Arabidopsis thaliana: one gene and its partner. The protein of the gene in region 2 purifies or fractionates together with the protein of the main gene of each other region. This does not show direct contact. Each region holds a gene or a part of one and is shown on either strand. Other genes may lie near its edges. The genes, in order: PPa2 and AT1G53070.

Evidence for each region.
Region 1: the proteins of AT1G53070 (region 2) and PPa2 fractionate together in Arabidopsis thaliana (co-fractionation; one large-scale study listed by BioGRID). This does not show direct contact.

What each region holds. Positions count from the first base shown.
Region 1 is NC_003071.7:7,931,423-7,939,233, forward strand, and holds PPa2 (pyrophosphorylase 2), read right to left. Parts: upstream 2,932-7,811; 5' UTR 2,789-2,931; intron 2,151-2,788; 5' UTR 2,139-2,150; coding exon 1,997-2,138; intron 1,907-1,996; coding exon 1,878-1,906; intron 1,780-1,877; coding exon 1,714-1,779; intron 1,492-1,713; coding exon 1,384-1,491; intron 1,290-1,383; coding exon 1,224-1,289; intron 1,135-1,223; coding exon 1,014-1,134; intron 923-1,013; coding exon 841-922; intron 760-840; coding exon 717-759; 3' UTR 501-716; downstream 1-500. Other genes in the region: AT2G18220 (Noc2p family), read left to right, coding at 123-429; AT2G18240 (Rer1 family protein), read left to right, coding at 4,044-4,405, 4,629-4,863, 4,974-5,042; AT2G18245 (alpha/beta-Hydrolases superfamily protein), read left to right, coding at 5,931-6,559, 6,678-6,780, 7,409-7,602, 7,690-7,811.
Region 2 is NC_003070.9:19,772,072-19,784,814, reverse strand, and holds AT1G53070 (Legume lectin family protein), read right to left. Parts: upstream 6,683-12,743; 5' UTR 6,445-6,682; coding exon 5,626-6,444; 3' UTR 5,368-5,625; downstream 1-5,367. Other genes in the region: SPA4 (SPA1-related 4), read right to left, coding at 1-105, 202-359, 447-1,067; AT1G53080 (Legume lectin family protein), read right to left, coding at 2,596-3,447; AT1G53060 (Legume lectin family protein), read right to left, coding at 8,035-8,763; AT1G53050 (Protein kinase superfamily protein), read right to left, coding at 9,284-9,502, 9,586-9,993, 10,087-10,195, 10,322-10,422, 10,524-10,751, 10,854-11,171, 11,262-11,546, 11,825-12,241.

The DNA of each region.
Region 1 (7,811 bases), on a different chromosome or scaffold from region 2:
GTGGCTTTATCAACTTAAGAATATAGATAGGATGGGAACCGGGTTGTCTCCTACGCCTATAACGTAGATATTTTATCTGACCGTTGTGATATAACCTAAAACAACAAATGTGTAATTAACAGAGAAAAAGAGCCGGAAGAAGAGAAAACGAAAAAGAAGAAAAGGAAGAGAGGTGGAAAGAGTAAAACAGAGAAGAAGCAGGATGAGCAAGGCTTAGGAGAAGATGACGTTGTGGAGGATTTTGTGTTGAGTTCTGATGAAGAGGAAGAGGATCTGTTTGATATAGGAGGAGACAAAGATGAAGATGATGCAGTAGACGAAATTGCAGATCCTGAGACCAAGACATCTAAGAAGACTAAGGGCACTTATAAGACCTGGCATAAGGCTTACAAAAAGACCAAGAAGAAGAAGGCCCGAGTAGCTTCTTAAGTTTTTTTTGTATCTTCTTCGATTTGTATGAGAGTACTTTTCGGATGTTTGCGAAACAACATTAAACAAAATTTTGGGGAAAAGAAAAGCTAATATTTCAAATTTTATGATTGTACTGGAAATTTTTCATCATCATCAGAAAGCTTTAAGTTCAACAATGTTTTCTGATGAGCATTACGAAATTAAATGCACCAATTGAAATTTTATCTAACATGCATGTAGTATAGAAGGCGGCTTCAGTGATGTCTAAGCAAACCGGGAGGAACGGAAAAGGACTGGTTTCTTCATTAGCGTTGCAGGCCAGCTTTGATGTAAGCTGCGTAAAGATCCCTGCGTTTCAAAACAGTACATTGCTCATTATTAACAAAACAACGTGTAAATAATTTGGTGTTTGGGATAAAACAAACTTACATGGAGTCCTTGATAGCGTCTATGGCAGCTTGAGCGGGAAGGAAAGCTTCAACGTCGACTTTCTTGTTCTCGTTCTTCTTGTCTAAAAACATTGTTTGTTAAGTGAAAACTGAAAACAAATCATAAGCGAAAACAAAATTATACGTTAAATGCAACATGTCTCTGTAGGATACAGTCCTCAAAGAAGCGACGGATTTCAGCTAGACGGTGAGGGGGAAGCTCTTTGATGTCTCTGTAGTGACGGAACTCGGGATCATCAGCACATACTGCAATGATCTTGTCGTCTTTCTCACCCTGCAAGTTTCAGAACAAGGTGATTCCTGGTTTCTTACTAAGGTAATACATTACATAGAGGTAGAATTGGGTTTAAGAGTTTTTGTTACCTGATCAATCATGGGCATTAGACCAATAGCACGGGCACGGAGGAATGATCCGGTTAGCACAGGCTCCTGCACAGTATTTTATCTCAAGTCTGTTATTTCACTGCCTGTTTACATCAAGTTTGTATGAACATGAAAGCTAAGATGAGGCGAGAGAAAGCACCTGCATCAGTACCAGGACATCCATTGGATCACTGTCTTCACAGATAGTTCGAGGGATGAAACCGTAGTTGTGGGGGTACACAATGGATGAGTAGAGAACGCGATCAACCTAGAGAGGAAAACTTTCAGTGATCAGAGTTTTTCTTCATTTCGACTCTTACGGTGAAGGATATTTAGTTGGAATGCATAAAATGTGACTTATGATATATCTAGCAACAAAGAATTCCTCATATAACCGCATAATCAGACTATATATTGAGGGATCAGAAGACAGGTTATACTCAATCAAAGCATATATGATGCAAGCAGAGACTGCCAAAGAACACTGTACCTTAATAAGGCCACTGTTCTTGTCTAGCTCGTACTTAACCTTTCCACCTTTGCTAATTTCAACAACCTGACAAAGAATTCAAGCACATTTAACAATCACAAGACCAGCACTAACTTTCTTAATATGATCTAATCTTCCGCAATGTAGAAGAAGATAAAACTTACACAGTTGAAAACAGTAGGAGCTTCTGGACCTGAAAGATTCAACAAACAAAACACTTACATCAAACAATCAACACTTGACTCACATGACTATTCAAAGTAACAAAGACAAGGATTCTTACCAATCTCCAAGTCATGCCAAGGATGAGCAGCAGCTGATCTGTGAGTGAAGGCTGCAAAGTTTCTCTCATTCAGCGTAACATTAGGGTTCCTGAGAGGGAAAGCATAGCCCTTGGCGCTTCCTTCATCCTTGATTTCAGCCATATCGGATGTTCACTATAATATGCAAACAAAAGGAGAGTCTCATTCAATCATATACCAAACTCAAAACAGGCCATATAAATTATTCTCACTACTTAACCATTTCATACAATAACCACCAGACAAATCCTTCAACATTCCAGCAGAATCCAATCTTATAAACCATAAAAAATGACTGTTCAAATCCGAGCAGAGAAATGAAGCACACATTTCTACGATGGTTCACTGTTCTAATGCAACTCAATATCATCTTAGGCAAATATCTAACAACGCGAAAGGCTAAAGTATCAGAGATATGCGAAGAACATAGATCCATCATCGATTTCATGTAAATACACATCAAAACACTCAAATCACCAACTAGTCTAAGCTACATCAATTGGAAACTGAAATAGAATCGAAAAACAGAACTAATCCAAACAAATGAAAGATAATCGACGAATCGATCATCTGTGAAGACCAATCCAAGTACTCGGCGCTCAAAACGAAACGAAACCAACAAGAAAATAGCAAAATCAAACGAAATCGCTTCGATTCAACAAGAAGTGATCAAAACAAGTACCATTAACAGGAGAAGATAAACTAAAAATGACCTAATCGACGGATTTCGAAGGAAAAAAAGAAACGAGAGAAGAAGAAGAAGATGATCTTACAGATGAAATCTCAAGCTTCAATCGCGAAACCGAAGCAGAGAATCCGTAACGTTTTTTTCTTTCTTTCTTCTCTCTTCGTTTAAGAAAACAACAAGATTTTGCAGTTACAGTAGAGTTTTCGTGTGACTGTGTGTGTGGCGCTTCTTTATGGGACGTTGGAGGAGGAAGAAGACGCTGACGTCACTTTTTCCTCGGTTATTGTTCATCGTCAATCGTACGATGAATCGTGTCCGTTGAATTTGAAAGGTTAATGGATCTGACGGCCATGGTTTTTCAAGATTTTAATATCTTTCTTAAAAAAATAGTTAGTGTACCTTTTAATTGAACGAAAAGAAAAAGAGACGACAGTGATGTACCAAAAAAGTATCCGACTAACAAATTGTTATATGACGCGTGTCCTGAAAATTAGGCAATTTCTTTCAGTGAATTCCTTATTTTATTTTGTCTGTTTTTGGCAAACAAATTTATTATTTTCTTAGGATAAAGAAATGAATTTATATCACTCATTCTTCTTTCTTTCTTTTTTGTTTTCACTCAAAATCAGTCACTCATTATTCTGTGTATTTATTATTTTCTTTTTTGTTTTCATTATTCTGTCACAAAAACAAGTTGAATAACAAATTACCACTTTTGATATTTTTCTTTTTTCATAAGTATCTAATATGTCAAATGGGAAAAAATGATCATTATTGAGCTGTGGGGTTAACCACAACCAAAAAAACTGTGTCGTATGGATGTGACCATCGAGCAGTGTTTTTTTGGTGACTGTCAACTAGAATTACAAGTCTAGAGAATCATACGCAAAACGTTAAAATTCGGTTTAAGGTCCCAGAGAAACAAAAAAGATTCGGTTTTGGATTCTTTCTGGTTGGGCCTCACAGAATATCGAATCGTTCCATGTAAAAACCAAAAAAAGTTCAACATATTTTCCCTACTGGGCTTAAACAAATATTTTATGAAGCCCAACATGTTTAACAAAAGTATCTTACTTTGCGACACGTGTCATGTTCCTTCTCCCCACGTCATTCAGTTTCTTCCTCTTCTTTCCAGAAAAACCAAGACTTTAATACGACTAAGAAAAATTCAGACGAAACTGAGAAACTTTCAATTTAATTGGTTCAAAATCATCCTAAATCGAGTAGATTGTTTTGAATCGATTTTTGAAGTTGATTCGAAGTTCAGTGATTGTGATTAGAATTTATAACCAGACCCAGTTTTTGAGGTGAAGAAAAAGCAGATTTTGTGTTCAATTTCCATGGAAGACGAACCAGGAAGCGAAAATGAAGCAGACACCATAGTTGCTTCACCACTTGCAAAATGGAGAATCGAATTCTCGAAATCGTTTCAGAATTACTTAGACAGATCTGCTCCTAACATTGTTCGAAGATGGCTTGTGACTTTAGTCGCTGCAGTGATCTATATCTATAGGGTTTACTCTGTTTATGGATACTTCGTTATCTCTTATGGCTTAGCTACTTATATCTTAAATCTCTTGATTGGTTTCCTTTCCCCTAAAGTTGATCCTGAACTTGAAGCTTTGGATCCTGATTCTTTACCTGTTGATGAGTCTGATGAGTATAAGCCCTTTGTTCGTCGTCTTCCTGAGTTCAAGTTCTGGTAAAATTTCTCTTTTACTTTTGATGATGGATGATTTTGATTTAGGTTTGTCGAAAAGTTTGTGTTTTTACCATTCATTGTTAAAGTTCTGGTAGATTTCTTCTTTTGAGACAATTTGATTGATGATTGTTATGATAGTGAATTCGTATGAGAACTGATTTAGGTCTAATGGTCTGCTTTAGGGTTTGAATTCTCATGAAAGTTTGTCAATTTTGATTTTCAGGTATGCAGCGACTAAAGCATTTGTTGTTGCATTTGTGATGACATTCTTCTCTTTCCTGGATGTGCCTGTGTTCTGGCCGATCTTGTTGTGTTACTGGTTGGTTTTGTATTCTTTAACTATGAAACGCTTAATCGTGCACATGTTCAAGTATAGATACTTTCCTTTCGATGTAAGAAAGCCTGTGAAGCTGCTCAAGTTTCTTGTAAACAGTGTCCTGACCTTTTTAAGACTCAAGGTAAATCGTGCAACGGGGTGATTTGTATTCGATTTCTTTTGGATAGTCTTGAATCTCTGCTTTAGAAAGTTAAGAGTGCTGAACATAGATTGTGCTGATGTTTTTGACAGAAGGGTGATGGTGGAGATGATAGGCCCAGCAGCAGCAATTCATCTCAGGGAAATGAAAAACAAGATTAGATGCGAACAGTAGATCAGGTACTGATCTCGACGTGGTGATAGGCGAAGCAAGAAAGGATACAAACTAAGGATATCAAAGTAAAATATACTATAGCCATGCTGGTGGAATAGGAAAACAAAGTTCTTGAAGCTTAACAGAACTAAGAAATCTCTCTGAGTTTTGAGTAATCTCCTGCATTTTCCGGTTTTTGCATTGTAATGTGTAACAGTGTATTTTACAATTATACGTTTAAATGAATTTGGGAATCACAAGTAGGAAAAAGTATTCTTTACAGTTCCAGGACTTGGATACTACTCTGGACACAACTAATCACACAAAGCTGTGTTGACAGCCTCCAATACCAAGCACTGGTCCAAATCTCTTTGCAGAAACAGATACAGATTGGTCATCATACTCGGAGAACTGTGTGGACTCGAGTGTACTTACTTGACTTCCTAGGTTAGTATACTTCTCAAGCATTTATGTCTCTTGACTTCTATTGGTTTAGATATCGGTTTGGCAAATATTCATAGGGTTTATGCACAATTACATTTGCAACAACAACAAAATATAGTGAAGGATATAGCAATGAGAGATTACTGGAGAGACTCTATAAGACAGTTTCCGAGGAAGTGCAGTGCGTAAAACCGCAGACTGTTGTCCAATTCAGATATGTTGTACTCTTTGATCCGAGAAAAAGATGGTGTAAACCAAAATGGAACATTTCAAAGTCTGAAAAGAGAGATTGAATCAGCTCCAAGGCATAAGGGAAACCCGCTAATTCAGCAAGACTGTTTAATTTCCTATAAATATTCTATTTTTATTTTCTTTTCAGATATTTATTCATCACTTATCAGCGATTTGACGAGAAGAGCTTTTTGGTTTCTGCGAATCATCCAAAATCCGCCATGGAAGCAACTACAAGAATCTTGAGTACTTCTTCTGCTCTCAATCGTCTTCTTCTTCTCAGTAAGCTCAATCTAAAATCAGATCCCCGTAATATCAATTCCACAAATCAGCTACTACACAATGCCGTTACCCGAAAATCCTCTATCTCCGCCGCTCGTATACGGTGCTCTTCGCTCCCTGCGAATGCGAATCTCTTCAGATCACTCTTCTTCCTAACGTCAACGTTTCGTCTCGAGAACACCGCCGTTCACGCTAATCCATTCCGATCCGAACCTAACGACGGCGTCGCCGTCTGGAACAGAGCTCCACGGATCGTGAACGGAGGTGGAAACGCGGCGATATTCGGCGGGAACGAGGGGAAAGAGACGACGGTGGTTCTCCTTGGTTGGCTAGGAGCGAAAGCTAAACATCTAAGGAGATACGTTGAGTGGTACAACTCCAGGGGAATTAACGCCGTTACTTTCACTGTTGACGTTAGGGATTTGCTCCGGTTAGATCTTGGTCGGCGGCTTGAACGAAGGATAGCTGAATTTGGGAATGAATTGGTTAATTGGGTATCGGAGAAAGAAGATGATGGTAGAGAGAAATGCTTGGTGTTTCACAGTTTCAGTAACACTGGTTGGCTTGTGTAGGTTGATGAAACCAAAATCCTTCAAAATCCTACATTGTGATTGCGATTGTGATTTAGTGTTGATTTGAATTAGATGATGAATTTTAAGCATGGTGGGCTTTTTTACTTTTGGTAGATATGGTGCCTTGCTAGAGAGCTTCATTGGTAGACAAGATTTAGTAGAAAGGATTAAGGGTTGTATCATTGACTCGGGAGGAGCAGATCCTCTTGATACTAAGGTTTGTTCTCTCTTTCATGTAACCAAGAGTTTTAAATGCTATTCAATGGTTTCTCCACTGCTTCAAGATCTTGTATTGGAAGTGGAAATGTCAATATTGTTGTGAAGTGAAAAATTCTATTTGAGCTATGTTGTCCTCTTTTTCAATAATGATTCATTTTATGCTAGTGTGAAAGCTTTGCTAGTTTGAGTTCTATGTTGAAGAACTTTGTATCGATTACAAGCATTTGCAGAACCATGGCTAGGGGACTTTTGATTTTGATATCTAAGCAATTAGCTTTGTAGATAGATAACTCAGTACTTAGAAAAGACTATATAGCTATGAGTTAAAACCGCTGATTTCTTTTGGTTACGTAGCCATCACTCACAGGTTTATAGTACATCGGCCTATATATCTTGTGAATGTGATCTTGTTCTCTTGCAAGATATGATGTCTTAGGCATGTGAACAAGATAAAATGAGCTTCATAGTATGTGCCTGAGTTTGTTCTGAAGCCCCTTTTGTTGAAAATTGCTTAATCATTGCGTAGTCCTAATAAGCCATCATAATCATTCATCTTGCATAAGATTAGCAATGCGTACACCTGTGCAGATTTTATAGATCAACAATTGAATTCTGTTCTTTTGCAGATTTGGGCAGCGGGGTTTACCGCGGCTATACTGAAGAAGCGTAGCTCCACCATAACCACAGAACCAAACAGTCCCATAAAAGAAGAGGATGCTTCAACACCACAAAAGAAGGAACCTTTAGGAATCGAAAACATAATGCTATCATCTCTGGAGAAACTCTTCCCCATCTTCTTAAACCACCCAGACGTCAATACGTAAGCTTCACACCACACAGTAGACAACCCATCTGCTTCTTCTTTGTATATTAGGTTGATTAATCTGAGTTATTGTTTGTATCGCAGGAGGCTAACAAAAATCATTCAAAAACTATATGAGAACCATCCTCCATGTCCTCAGCTCTATCTTTACAGCTCCGGGGACAAAGTTGTTCCATCTCATTCCGTTGAGCTCCGCATCCGAGAAC
Region 2 (12,743 bases):
AGTAATAACTCTTGTTCCTCGATTCTATCCCGTAGCTCCATTGCAGCTTCACGTTCTTCCAAATTCTCTCTAGGTTCGTTGATAAACTCACTTTGTAGCAACTCACTGCAAAAGTAAAGACAAAGGAGACAATACTCTTAATTAAAGGACAAAACTTTTCCAATTGAAACTAAAAACATCAAAGAGAGAATCAATCATCACCTCATCGATGGTCGACAGCTAGGCTCAGGATGCAGTAACCACAAGCAAAAGGAAGCTTCTTTAGGCCAATTGAGTAATATCTGAGGGGGAAGAACACGATGTCTTAAACTAGACATAGTTCTTGACTTCTCTTCTCTTGAGGAGACAGGGCAGAATAGCTGCACAAAGACTAACATTCATCAAATCAGTTTTCTCAAGAAAACAAAGCAGTTAAGAACAAAAATCAAATCTTCTTACGCACAAACCTCAAAGAGAAGAACACCAAGACGGTAAATATCAGAAGCACAATTACACAGAGAACCATTATCTTCTTCATGACTTGTATACCAACTCATCTCCATTGCTAATATCTGTTTCATAGGGAAAGGTTGCTTCTTTACTTCCTCTTGTTGTTTGCTTCGTCTCTCTGATAGAATCTCCTCTTGTCTCGAGCTACCAATCTCTCGAGACTTTGTTGTTGCATCCTCATCAGACCCGGAATCCGAACAAGAAGCGGATTCGATAAACGAAACATTGTTAAACGAAGACATAACGAAACAAGAAGGCCTAACATTATGAACAACAATGCCTTGAGAGTGAGCTGCATTAACAATCTCAACAATCTGTCTGAAAACATGAAAACACTCAAAGGCATCAACGGATCGGTCTGGATTGTCTAACCACTGACGCAAGCTAACATCCTCACATTCCAAAGCTCTGACAATAGAGTCATCATCAAGTCCTCCCAAGTTAGCTTCTTTATGTGAACCAAGTAAGCTTCTGACATAATCAATGTGAGACAAAGACTTAGAACCATCTGTACAAAACTCTGAAACACCAGAGGTGTTGTTTAATCCTCTGGAACTAGATTCTGAAGAACCCTTCATTGATTACCAAACAAACTCCTCTGGATTCTGCAATACTTCATTTCATGATCCCAGCCCAAAAGCCCTAAGTTAGAATCGAAATAAAGTAAAGAAATTTAGAACGAAAGTTAAGATTTTTAAAAGACCCTTTGACAGAAAACACCAAAACCAGAAAATATATTCGAATAAAAATGCAACCTTTGATTACATAAAGAGACAAACACGAGGAAGCTTCTTGACCACTAAACTCTCTCTATATATAAAAGAAAAGCGAAGAAGAAGATAAGAAGAAGAAGAAGTACTTGAGAGACTAAGAGGCACCGAAGAAACGATCCTTTTTTGAGAACCACACATCGCAAAAACTGAGTTCGTAGAAAAGCAATAATCAGATTCATAAAAATTAAATTCTCGGCTAAGAGAAATCTATTTTGGGCCTACGATTTTTACTTCACAGTGAGGGTTTTATTTTTCGCTTTTTGATAATCTTCACTTCTCTTCTCTTTCCACGCAAGCAACGTGGTTAAACGACGACCTAGGAATCAAAAGAACGTAAAGCTAAAACCTTTTTCGTATTTTGGTTTTGGGCCATATATGTAAATATAAGTAAACCATGAGGTCAAAGTGAATTTTGTTCTTTTTTGAAGTGACCAATTTTCTTCAAGAGGAATGTTTAAATTATGTTGTGGTCCAAATAATATAACACATTTTTGTAAGGCTATAATAGGAATTTAAAATGACCAAAATAATTTTTGAATAACATATTTGAAGCCTTATTACAAGAGAAAGTACCTAAAGAAATGATTGTACTTTGAAAATCTTGAATGAGAAAAACAAAATTGTTTGTATTATTGGTTTTGGTGAAAGGAAAGAGAATGTATTGGTGGGAGCATTTAATAACCAGAGGGGAGTTTCCATTTCCATGGAATGGATTGAGACAAGTCGACAACGTAAGTGGTAAATTACAAAATCACATGCGTCCGGACACGCCACGTGTTTTTTCTTTTTCTATGATTAGATTACATACACAAATTTATCAATGAAAAAAAAAAAAAAACTCTGTTTTTTTATTGAAACCAAACCATCTGAAATGTAATGCAAGATTTTTGTAGAAAATGATACGACCTAGAAACTGTGATAGCTTTAACCTTATATATCGTGGATTTGTCAATATTTTAGTTTTAAATTTTAGTAATATCTTTTAAAAACTTATGTTAAGAAACTTGTGACATGAACAAACTGATTCAATTTGATGAGGACGATGACCACAATACCACGTGGTTGTGCTTTGGCTTTTAACGAGTCTTTATTTATACAAAATCAATGATGCATGTCCAAGAAGATCATTGACGGTGATGGTCCGGGACAGTGTGCATGTTTTCTTCTCAGGATTTTTTTTAATGGTTTAATCGATCAAAGTAATTTTAAATTTGATTTTGACATTTTATACGTACTCTCTTTTTAACCACTTTTGAATAAAAATCAAGAGAAAATACATAATTGTTAAACCGGTAACAAACATAAATCAAACCAAACAAGACCAAAATCAGAACTAATTGTTTTTGGCGGTGTTCTCAAAACTCCAGCTCCAAATGTCGTGACGCTCGACGCCACGACCCATCGAACCGGAAAAGCCGGTATACATAGTCTCAAGAACCACCTCCGAGAGATCAACTTGTGTTTCGATCAATGGCCTCTTCGGTTTCTTTAAATGCGCAGGTGCAAGCCAAACAATGACTTTACTGTTCTTATACTCAATCCAAGCTTTGTAGTTGTCTCCGCTACTAAGCTTCACTTCCTTAAACAACCATTGATTCTTCCCTCTAGTTCTTGTCTGAATCCAATACCCAGCTTTCTCAGAAACCTTTGAGTTAACAGAGTTAATATTAACACCAACATGATTATCATTAATATCACCAAAACGTTTGTCTTGGAAAACATCGAATTCGACCGCAAAGAGATGGTTATTAGGATTGCCATTGGTTGTGAGGTTAACTAGACCGAGGAAGCCGCGGGTTGAGTCTTGGTCGTACTCGTAGGCTACGGTTGGGACCACGATGAAGGCGATACCATGACCAGGGTTAGGGTTTGACCGTCGAGGAGTGATGGAGAAAGTGAAAGATGTTTTGAAAGAGTAAACAGAAGAAGATGTGTTGTTGGAAGATTTGAATGGGATTGGATCTGTGTAGAGACCTTGACCATGTGAGAATGGAATGTTGTCACGGGTCATGGAGAGAGCTCCGGACCGGCTCATGCCATCGGTTGCTGGTCCTAGCTCGGCGTACCCGATGAAGATTAGATTTGTTCCGTCGAAACGGTTGAAGTTGAATTTGACGGCGGAAATGGTTTTAGAGCTTAACAAAGATATGAACAGAACAAAAATACAGAGTTTGTGGATCTGCATTATGCGTTTGTTGTTTACGTGTGTATGTTTTTGTTTTTGGTGTTATGGAAGTGGAAGTAGTGCTGTAATATATAGTGTGACGAAAGCCAGTGAACTTCAACTATGACTTTTCAAACATATATAGAGGTCAAATATGATAGCGCCAACTGGGCACACGAAAAAGACTATTTTTTAGTGATAAACCATTGATTTCTGAATTCAAGATGGATGGAAAAAAAAAACTAAAGAACAAAACAATTATTATGAATCGAAAGGATTGTTAACTCTCTCTCACGACTTTACACATTAGCACATAGAGTTTGCCACATAAACTTCATAAAATAAGTAATAAATAATTAGTAATAAATAATTAGTAATAATTTAACATAACAACTAAAATAAGAGGATATAATTAATCAGAACTTGAACCATCACAGTTTTTATATTTTTTTTAATTCAATATATCCTCTTTAATTTTGAGATCTACTTGAGTGGTTAAAGTGATCATAAAATCCAAACATGTTACACATATTCCTTGCCTAAAAATTAGACGATTATTATGAAAGAAACTAAATGAATATGCAGATTAAATATATCTAAGCTTTTCGAGAATTATGCTAAGAAACAAGTATTTTGAAAGATGTTTGAGGAGCTATCCTTATAACTAATATGTAAGATATAAGATTATGACAAGAACTTAACTAAACTTTCCAAGAACATCAAGTTAAATATGATTAGATTTAATATGCAAAGACATGGTTAATAAAGACATGTTATATTTTTAGTATAAGAAACAAATTTTCTAAAATTTCACCGTCCCACAATCTAAACATATAACAAAAAAAACAAGGATATATAAATTTTAAAAAAACTGAGAATCTAGAACAACAATAAAAAAAAACAACTCAAGCATATTCGTTTTTCATATGAACTAATATAGTTGGACTTTTCAAAAACAATTACAAATCATATTTATGTTTCAAAACCGATGCATTCAACTTTACTTTATGTTATATGAACAAACATTATATAAAACAATTTGTAAATAGTAATACATAAACCCGCACGTAGTGCGGGTACTCATCTAGTTTATCATTAAAGTCGAATAAACACAATAACTCATAAGAAAATTTATCTAATCCTTACTACTAATTATATTTCCACTAGAGCCGGTCTTGATATTTAAGGAGTCCAAACGCAAGAAAAGATTGTTCTGGTATTTTTTGGACTAGTTATCAAAGAAATGACAAAACATTTTAAAAAATTAGAGTTCATGAAGGCTTTGTTATATTGCAAAGGGTCCATTTTTAGATTATTGTTTTGTTGATGAGGCCGAAAACTTTGGAGGTCCTAGATCAATGATTCCTTTCGCTTGTCGCATGGTCACCTTTGCCTAGCACGATCCTCCACCAAAAACACGTCAAATTCTATTCTAGCAGATTGATGATTGTAGTCAAATCACATCGTCGTAGGTAAAATTATGAGATGCTGTCTGTCCAAGCCTCGACAACGAGGACACACTCTTCAATTGGATAAAGCAAAAACACTAAAAAAATATCTCACTGAAAGAGGGAGAATACGAAATAGATATGAGAAAGAGCGTATATACAACCACGATATATAATCTCAAAGAGCATTCATCTCTATCACACTTTTACAACATAATCTGAAAGAAACGAGACAACTTTCCGACAATTCATCAAGTCCTCCTTTCCTTCGTTCCTAGATCTCTCATTTTCCAAGTCGCATCATGGAGTGTTATAATCCACTTGGCATGTAACATTTCCTCTTTAAAAGTCTTCCACAAAACAACATAGTTGGTAGTAGACTCTTTTTTTCCGGTAAACATGTTAAGATGTTTTAGACTATTTTGATAGTCCCATAACTACGATCTCCACATTTCTCCTATAAATCTGATTCTCATCTAGTCATGTTGGCCAATTTTGATAGAATGTAAAATCATTTTTTCTTTTTTTGTCAACGAGAAATGTAATTTAAAAGTGACTAACATAAAAGATTAGGAACGAAACGTCCTTGATTTCTACTAATCTGACAACAATAATACATCAAATTGTCGGTAAGACATAAAATGAGCAATTATTTCACTTCAATTATCACAAGCTGAAGGCACACCAGGGTAAACCAGAAACATAAACCAAAAGAAAACCGATGATCTCGAACCAAACCAAACCTGTTTTCTTAATTCTGGAAAGTCCAGTCCCAAATCTCGTGACGCTCGACACCACGACCCATCGAACCAGCAAAACCGGTATACATTACCTCGTGTATGACCTTGGAAAGATCGAATTTTGCTTCAATCAATGGCCGGTTCGGTTTCTTCAAATGCGCTAAACCAATCGTAACAGAGACTACTTTATAATTGTTGTTGTACTCAATCCAAGCCTTGTATCTATCTCCACTACTTAGCTTCAAATCCTTAAATAACCAACCGCTTCTTGTCATAACCCAATAACCGGATTTCACAGAAACCACCGAATCAACCGAATTAATATCGATTCCGACATGGTTATCGTTCATGTCGCCAAGAGATTTGTCTTGAAAGACATCGAACTCAACGGCAAAGAGGTGGTTATTAGGATTACCGTTATTGGTTCGGTTCAGAAGACTGAGATAGCCTAAACCGGAACCGGCGTCGTTTTGGTTACTTGGGACGACGATGAAAGCAAGGCCATGACCTTGATTAGGGTTTGTTTTAGGAGTAATGGAGAAAGTGAAAGAGGTTTTAAAAGGGTAAAGAGCTGAAGCATTAGGCTTGAAAGTGATTGGAGTGGTGAAAATGGCTCGACCATGAGAGAAAGGAATGTTGTCTCGAGTCAATGCGATGGCTCCGGACCGGCTCTTGCCATCAGTGTCAGGACCATACTCAGCGTCTCCATGGAATGATATTGGATCGGTGCCGTTACCAAAGTAATCGAATTTGAATTTGTAAGCAGTGGTGACTTGAGAGGTGAAGATAGCTAAGAACAGAGTGGTGAAACAGAGTATTTGGATCTTCATTTTTTAGTTCTGTTTTTGGGAATTTGGGAAGTGAAAGTGGTGAACTTTAAAAGATGTGAGTGTTGAAAAGATCGAGAAGACTTAAAATAATTGAGAGAGAAGAGAGACAAAGAATTTGAATTATGGCATTAGATGACAAAAGCTGTTCTCGAAAGTGCACAAAATGGTTCTACTTTTTCTGTGCCCACAATGCTGAAAACAAAAACGTTATGAGTGTATAGGAGGAAATTAAAACTAGTATTGATTGAATAAACTTATATATGTATATAAGTTAGTCTGTCCTAATATATAGGTTAGGAAAGATATAAGTTAGTCCACATTCATGATCAAATCTATCATATTTCATTAAGTTATACCAAAACCAAATTTTTCTTAATTAACAATATACTATGTGTCCTTTATATATTAAAAGTTTTTAGTGCTTATGTGACAATCCCACATTTTTTCTCTCAGCTTTTTTACTATTTAATTATTTTGTTATAACTATCAATTTGTCAAACACATTTTTCTTTATCCTCATTCTCTTTAAACCATTTAGTCATTTACCAAACACATTTAAATTTTTTTCAAATATATAGAGTTACCAAATCATGTATTTTTAACTTCTCTTATTATCACCAAATTAACAATTTCCATTATGTGTATATATGTATATTAAATGGTTAGATTTTTCTTTAATGTCATTCAATTTGATTATGACCTAAAAATTAACAAAGTTTGATACTAAAGAAACATTTGTTTACTTTTAAATCACTCCATTTAACTTTTAAATCATCACCATTTAGTTCTAAAGTTTTTAAACCAAAATAGAATGTCTTAGTAAATAATATAAAATAAAAAAATAAAAAAAAAATATATTAAAAAAATCAACCTAACTTATAAATATACTTTATTGATAAAATATGTATATATATTATTGGATTGTTTTTGTTTAAACCATGCAATGAAGTAATCATTGGATTGTTTTTGTTGTTGCAAACTTGCAATGAGGTTACAAAAAGGGAAAGAAGACGAGACGACTCGTCCAGAAAAAGGTCGGAGAAATTTTGAGATGAGAGCCAAATCAGGCGAAATAGGGCTTACCCGACTTGATGATAAAGAAGTATCATGATATGGTTGGATGTCATACGTATGTGTTCAAATTTCCTTACTGGTACATTTTTTTTGTGTGTGGAGAGTAGTCTATTTTCATGGTGTGATTAAGTTTGTATACCGAGTTTCACTCAATGAAACGTATTGTGTGAGAATATGTTTCAAATGACGAATATTTGTAGTTAATTCTTGACATAGATCGTTGCAGGAAAGGATCTATGTTGAAGCCTACATAGGCACATGCCTTACTGGTTTTTCAGCAATTTACCGTCTCATAGAAGATTACGATATCTAATAGTTCTTACTATGGAAATGGATCCTTTATTGTAAATCTTTCTAGAAATCTGAAAGTAGATACATGGCACGTTAGGCCATAACATAAGCATTTATTAGCCTTCAACTATCACTAGCCTTAGCATCACGAGATTCACGACAGAAAACGAAGCTGCAAAACCAGTAACAACTTTGACATAAACAAAGCTGAAGCAAACCGGTTTATTAGTCTTTGGCACTGTTCTCAAAACTCCAGTCCAAGATCTCGTGACGCTCGACGCCACGTCCCATTGAACCGGCAAAACCGACATACATTTTCTCGAGAAAAACCTTAGAAAGATCGACTCGTGCTTCGATCAATGGCCTCTTCGGTTTTTCTTGTGAACGTCCGATCGTGACTGTCACTTTCCCGTTCTCGTACTCAATCCAAGCCCTGTATCCGTTTCCACTTAGCTTCAATTCCTTGAACAACCACCGGTTTTTTCCTTCGATTTTTGATTGATACCAATAACCGGCCTTCTTAGATACCGTTGAATTAACCGAATTATTGTTGATTCCGATATGGTTATCGTTAATGTCGCCAAGAGACTTGTCTTTAAAAACATCAAACTCAACCGCAAAGAGATGGTTCTTGGGATTACCGTTGCTAAACCGGTTCACAAGACTGAGATAGCCTAAACCAGAAGCGGAGTCGTTTCTATCGTTGGGGACGATGATAAAGGCGAGGCCATGACCGGGATTAGGATTTTTCGGGCGAGGACTAATGACGAAATAGAAAGAAGTTTTGAAAGAGTAGACAGAGGAAGAAGTAGAACTAGGCTTAAAAGGGACTGGATTGATGAAAATGGCTCGACCATGAGAGAATGGGACATTGTCACGGCTCAATCCAATTGCTCCTGACTTGCTCATACCATCAGGCTCTGAAGCGTACTCGGCGTCTCCATGGAATGTCATCAGATCAGTTCCATTTCCGAAGTAAATGAAGTCGAAACTGTAAGCAGAACACGTTATGGCGTGAGAGCAAAACAGAGCAAAAAACAGAGGAATGAAACAGAGTGTTTTGATCTGCAATTCTGTTTATTTTTTTCTTGGATATGGAAAGTATAAGAGGATAACAAGATTTATATAGTGAAAGAGAGCCAACAAAGTTTGACTCGACAAGATCATTTATTTTTCACAAGTAAAGATCTCGTAACACCTTTCTTGGTAAATTTCATAAAAAGTCACAAATTAAAAAGTTCAACTTTTGGAACATTTTCTAAATTATGATATATAACTCTGTTTCTACAGCTTTCTTATAATAAAATAATATCACATTACAGGGAAGCTAAAACGTGAAAAGATTTGATTCTATGATGATATATAATCTTTGAATCAATAAAATACAATTATTTTTCACTCAAAATACGCCGTGTTAAAAGGTTTCAGGCAAATGAGGTTCGGTTTGATCATTTACTTTTGCCTCACTGATGGATCAACGGCTAGAAACAGATGAGGGATGATTGGTTGCGACTTGTTGGCTCGAAGCTTCGTCAGCTTGAAGTTTCTTGACTCGAGCCTTATCGATTCGTGCTCTTCTCACAGCTTCTTGGATATGTCGGTCATGGTCTTTCAACACTTGATCCATGTTTCCTGATGGAACCACTAACGGTCCTGAGTAATGAATCTTGTGCCCTTTTGATCCATAACCCAACTGCAAACCAAACCATACAACTCAGAATATTAACATTGCTAGTCTTCTAAAATTAGCAAAGGAGGGACGTTTAGGGAACTTACGAGAATAGGGTCTTTCTTGTTGCTTCGACCATTCTCTTCCTGGTTTGCTTCTTCAGACGTTTCCTTGAATGAACCTGGAAGCCGAGTCATTCCTCTGCAAGTCTCTTGTTGTGGTGCGCCTGTTCTTGTTGCGGCAAAACCAGGCATTGCTGAGTAATCAGCTATGGATGAAACCTTTTGAGAATCTTGGTAATTCCGTCTACCCTTTGCGGAAGCAGATCTACGTGATAGAGGACCAGAATGTGAAGCTCTCTTGTGAGGAATTATATTGCCCTGAGATTCTCTGTTTGGTTCAAATGCTTGTGATGACGGCCTTGGTGGATCGATTGGGAAACCGGATGCAACTTCTTCAGGATGTGGATTAAACTTCTCGCTTCGACTTCTATTAGTAGACTGGCTCTGCCTTTTCTGCAATGACATAAATGCGAGAGGGTCAAAAACGTTGAATAAAAGCAAAAAGCTTTAACATCGAAAGAAATAGATTTTTTAAGATTTTTTAACCTGCATTGATGCAACCAGCTCTGCATTTGCGTCAGGGGCTGGGATGGCTCGAGATTCCTTAGTTCCTCTTCTTTCTTGGTGTCTTTGGTCCCTGTTTCCTCCAACTTGTCTACAAAAACAGGAACTAGATTAAAGCATTTCTATAAATATTTCTTTTTGCGTTAATGATACTATGCTATCGTAAGAGCATTGCAGGATAAAAGTCACATCAGACTAGAAAATCTGGATGGCATACCTTCTACTTTCCTCATCCCGCATTCTTGCATCGAGCTCTTTGCTGGGAGGATATTTAGGCAAGCTTGAAGGATCACATGGAAGAGGTCTGGTGGAGAAGAACTGAAAATAAAAGAATGATAATTTGATGTTACAAAAGCGATTACCAGGAAATACAGACGCATAAGAACACACAGCTTTTACTGCCTGAGTAATGCCAGTACCTCACTCTTGAGAGCTGCAGTGGCAGTTCCACGATCGTCAGGATTGACTGAAAGGAGAGTTTCAAGAAGGGCTAAAGCTGGCTGAGGAAACTCCTTGAATGTTTCACCCACTAAGCGTTTATATGGTTGAGTAGGCTTGAAAATTGTTGCATGAGGCAACCTTGATTTTACCCAATAGTCCTCGGTAGGCGAGCCACATAGCTTGAAAATCTTGTGCAACTGTTCCACCTGTAACACCATAAGCATTACCAGAGTCACCTTACGAAACCAAACTAGTCTAACATAAATCAGAGCAAACACTAAAAGAGAAAACAAAAACTGTAAATCTACCTCGGTTCTACCAGGCATAATAGGCTTGCCTGCATATAGTTCAGCAAGAATGCAACCTGCACTCCACAAATCAACTGCTGCTCCATAGCGAGTTGCTCCGAGCAAAAGCTCAGGTGGACGGTACCAAAGAGTTACCACACGACTGGTCAAAGGCTGAGTTTGACGAGGATCAAAGAAACTAGCTAATCCAAAGTCAGCAATCTTTAAAACTCCACTATTATCTATTAGCAGGTTTGAGCCTTTTATATCCCGATGGAGTACACCACGACTGTGACAATGGTCTAGTCCATGTAATAGTTGCTGCAGGTAGCACTTAACCTGTATGAAAAGAAAGCCCAGCCTCAGAAAATTGTACTGAAAGTGGTGCCTAGGTCATGAAGATGTTGAATAGAAACAAAAAAAAGTTACCTGTGATTCAGAAAATTTTATCGCGGGATGCGAGGCTAGCCCAGCTAAATCGTGTTCCATGTACTCGAAAACAAGATATAAGCTGCAAGACATTCTTGACGTAACTAAGCCTTCTAGCTTTATGATATTAGGATGATCAAGCCGGCGTAATATCTGGATTTCTCTAGCCATAAAACGCACACTTTCTGGCTCCAAGTTATCAAACCTAACTTTCTTCAAAGCCACAATTTTCTTCTGATCCAGGTCGCGAGCCCTATATACATTACTATAAGTGCCCTGACCAATCTGCATAAAACAATTAAAACCGCTGCATCAGGGATCATTCTTCACAGCTATAAGTTCAAAACCTTTTCAGGTCATGTTATATAGTTTTAAAAACCATCAACTGAAAAACAAAATCCACTTTCAATAACATAAAAGCATCATTTACTGCAACCCATATCTTTGGAGCTTAGGATATGTTTCTAAATACGGAAACATGCCACTATATGTCATGCAATCAAAAGAGTCTATTTAACAGTATTTTCAAAATGAATGTATATATACAAAGAAAAGAAGATTACTTTGTCCAACTTCTCAAAAGAATCCGCACGCCGAGGAACCCATCCCCTGATAGCTTCTCCAGCTACAGAAGCCAGCCATGGAGGCCAACCTGCAGCTACATACTCTCCTTCAGTTGCTTTAGCTATGGTAATACTCATTGCAAGAGGTGAAGTAGCAGCAACATTCTCAATCCTCTTCTCTCTTCTACTCAAATTCTCTCCACGCAAATGCAACGAAACATTGGATTGCTTATTACTCAACACTGGTCTTACACTAACAACATCAGACCGTTCCTTAATCCTAAGCGGCTCCTCCCTTCTAGAAGAAGCAACCGGTCTTGAAACTCTAAACTCAGAAGAGGATTTGCTTGAGAAACGCTCTCTTGGACTATCTTTGCTATCTTCAATAGCAGAAGGCTTACCACAAACACAACCCATCTCCCTCAATTTACCCCCAAATTTTTTTGATACTTAGAACCAAAAATAATCTTTACACAATTCATCCATCTTCTTCCACTAGCTAATTAAATGGACCACATGAAAAAACTAGACCCATTAAAACACATAAAGTCAGAGACTTTCCAAAAAGGAGAAACGAAATTAAGGAACCCTAGAACTCGAAGAACAGTGTATATAACCCAGAAAAAAAAAGGAATGATTTTTACTCAATCTGCAAAATGTACCCAGATCAAGAAGATTGTTCAGGCATTAATAACTACAGTGTAGTACAAAAAAACCCAGGATTATAACTTTTGTGCATAAAGCAAGTACCTTTCAAGAGATTGAAGAGAGAGAGAGACGACTAAAAAAACCAGAAGCAAAATGGTAAAATTGAATAATTTGCAGGAATAACTAATAAACAATGGAGCTTTCGAGAATAATTATGAGGAGAAATCAAAAGGGTTTAAGAGTGTTTGCTTGAGAGAGAGATGGATCTGGG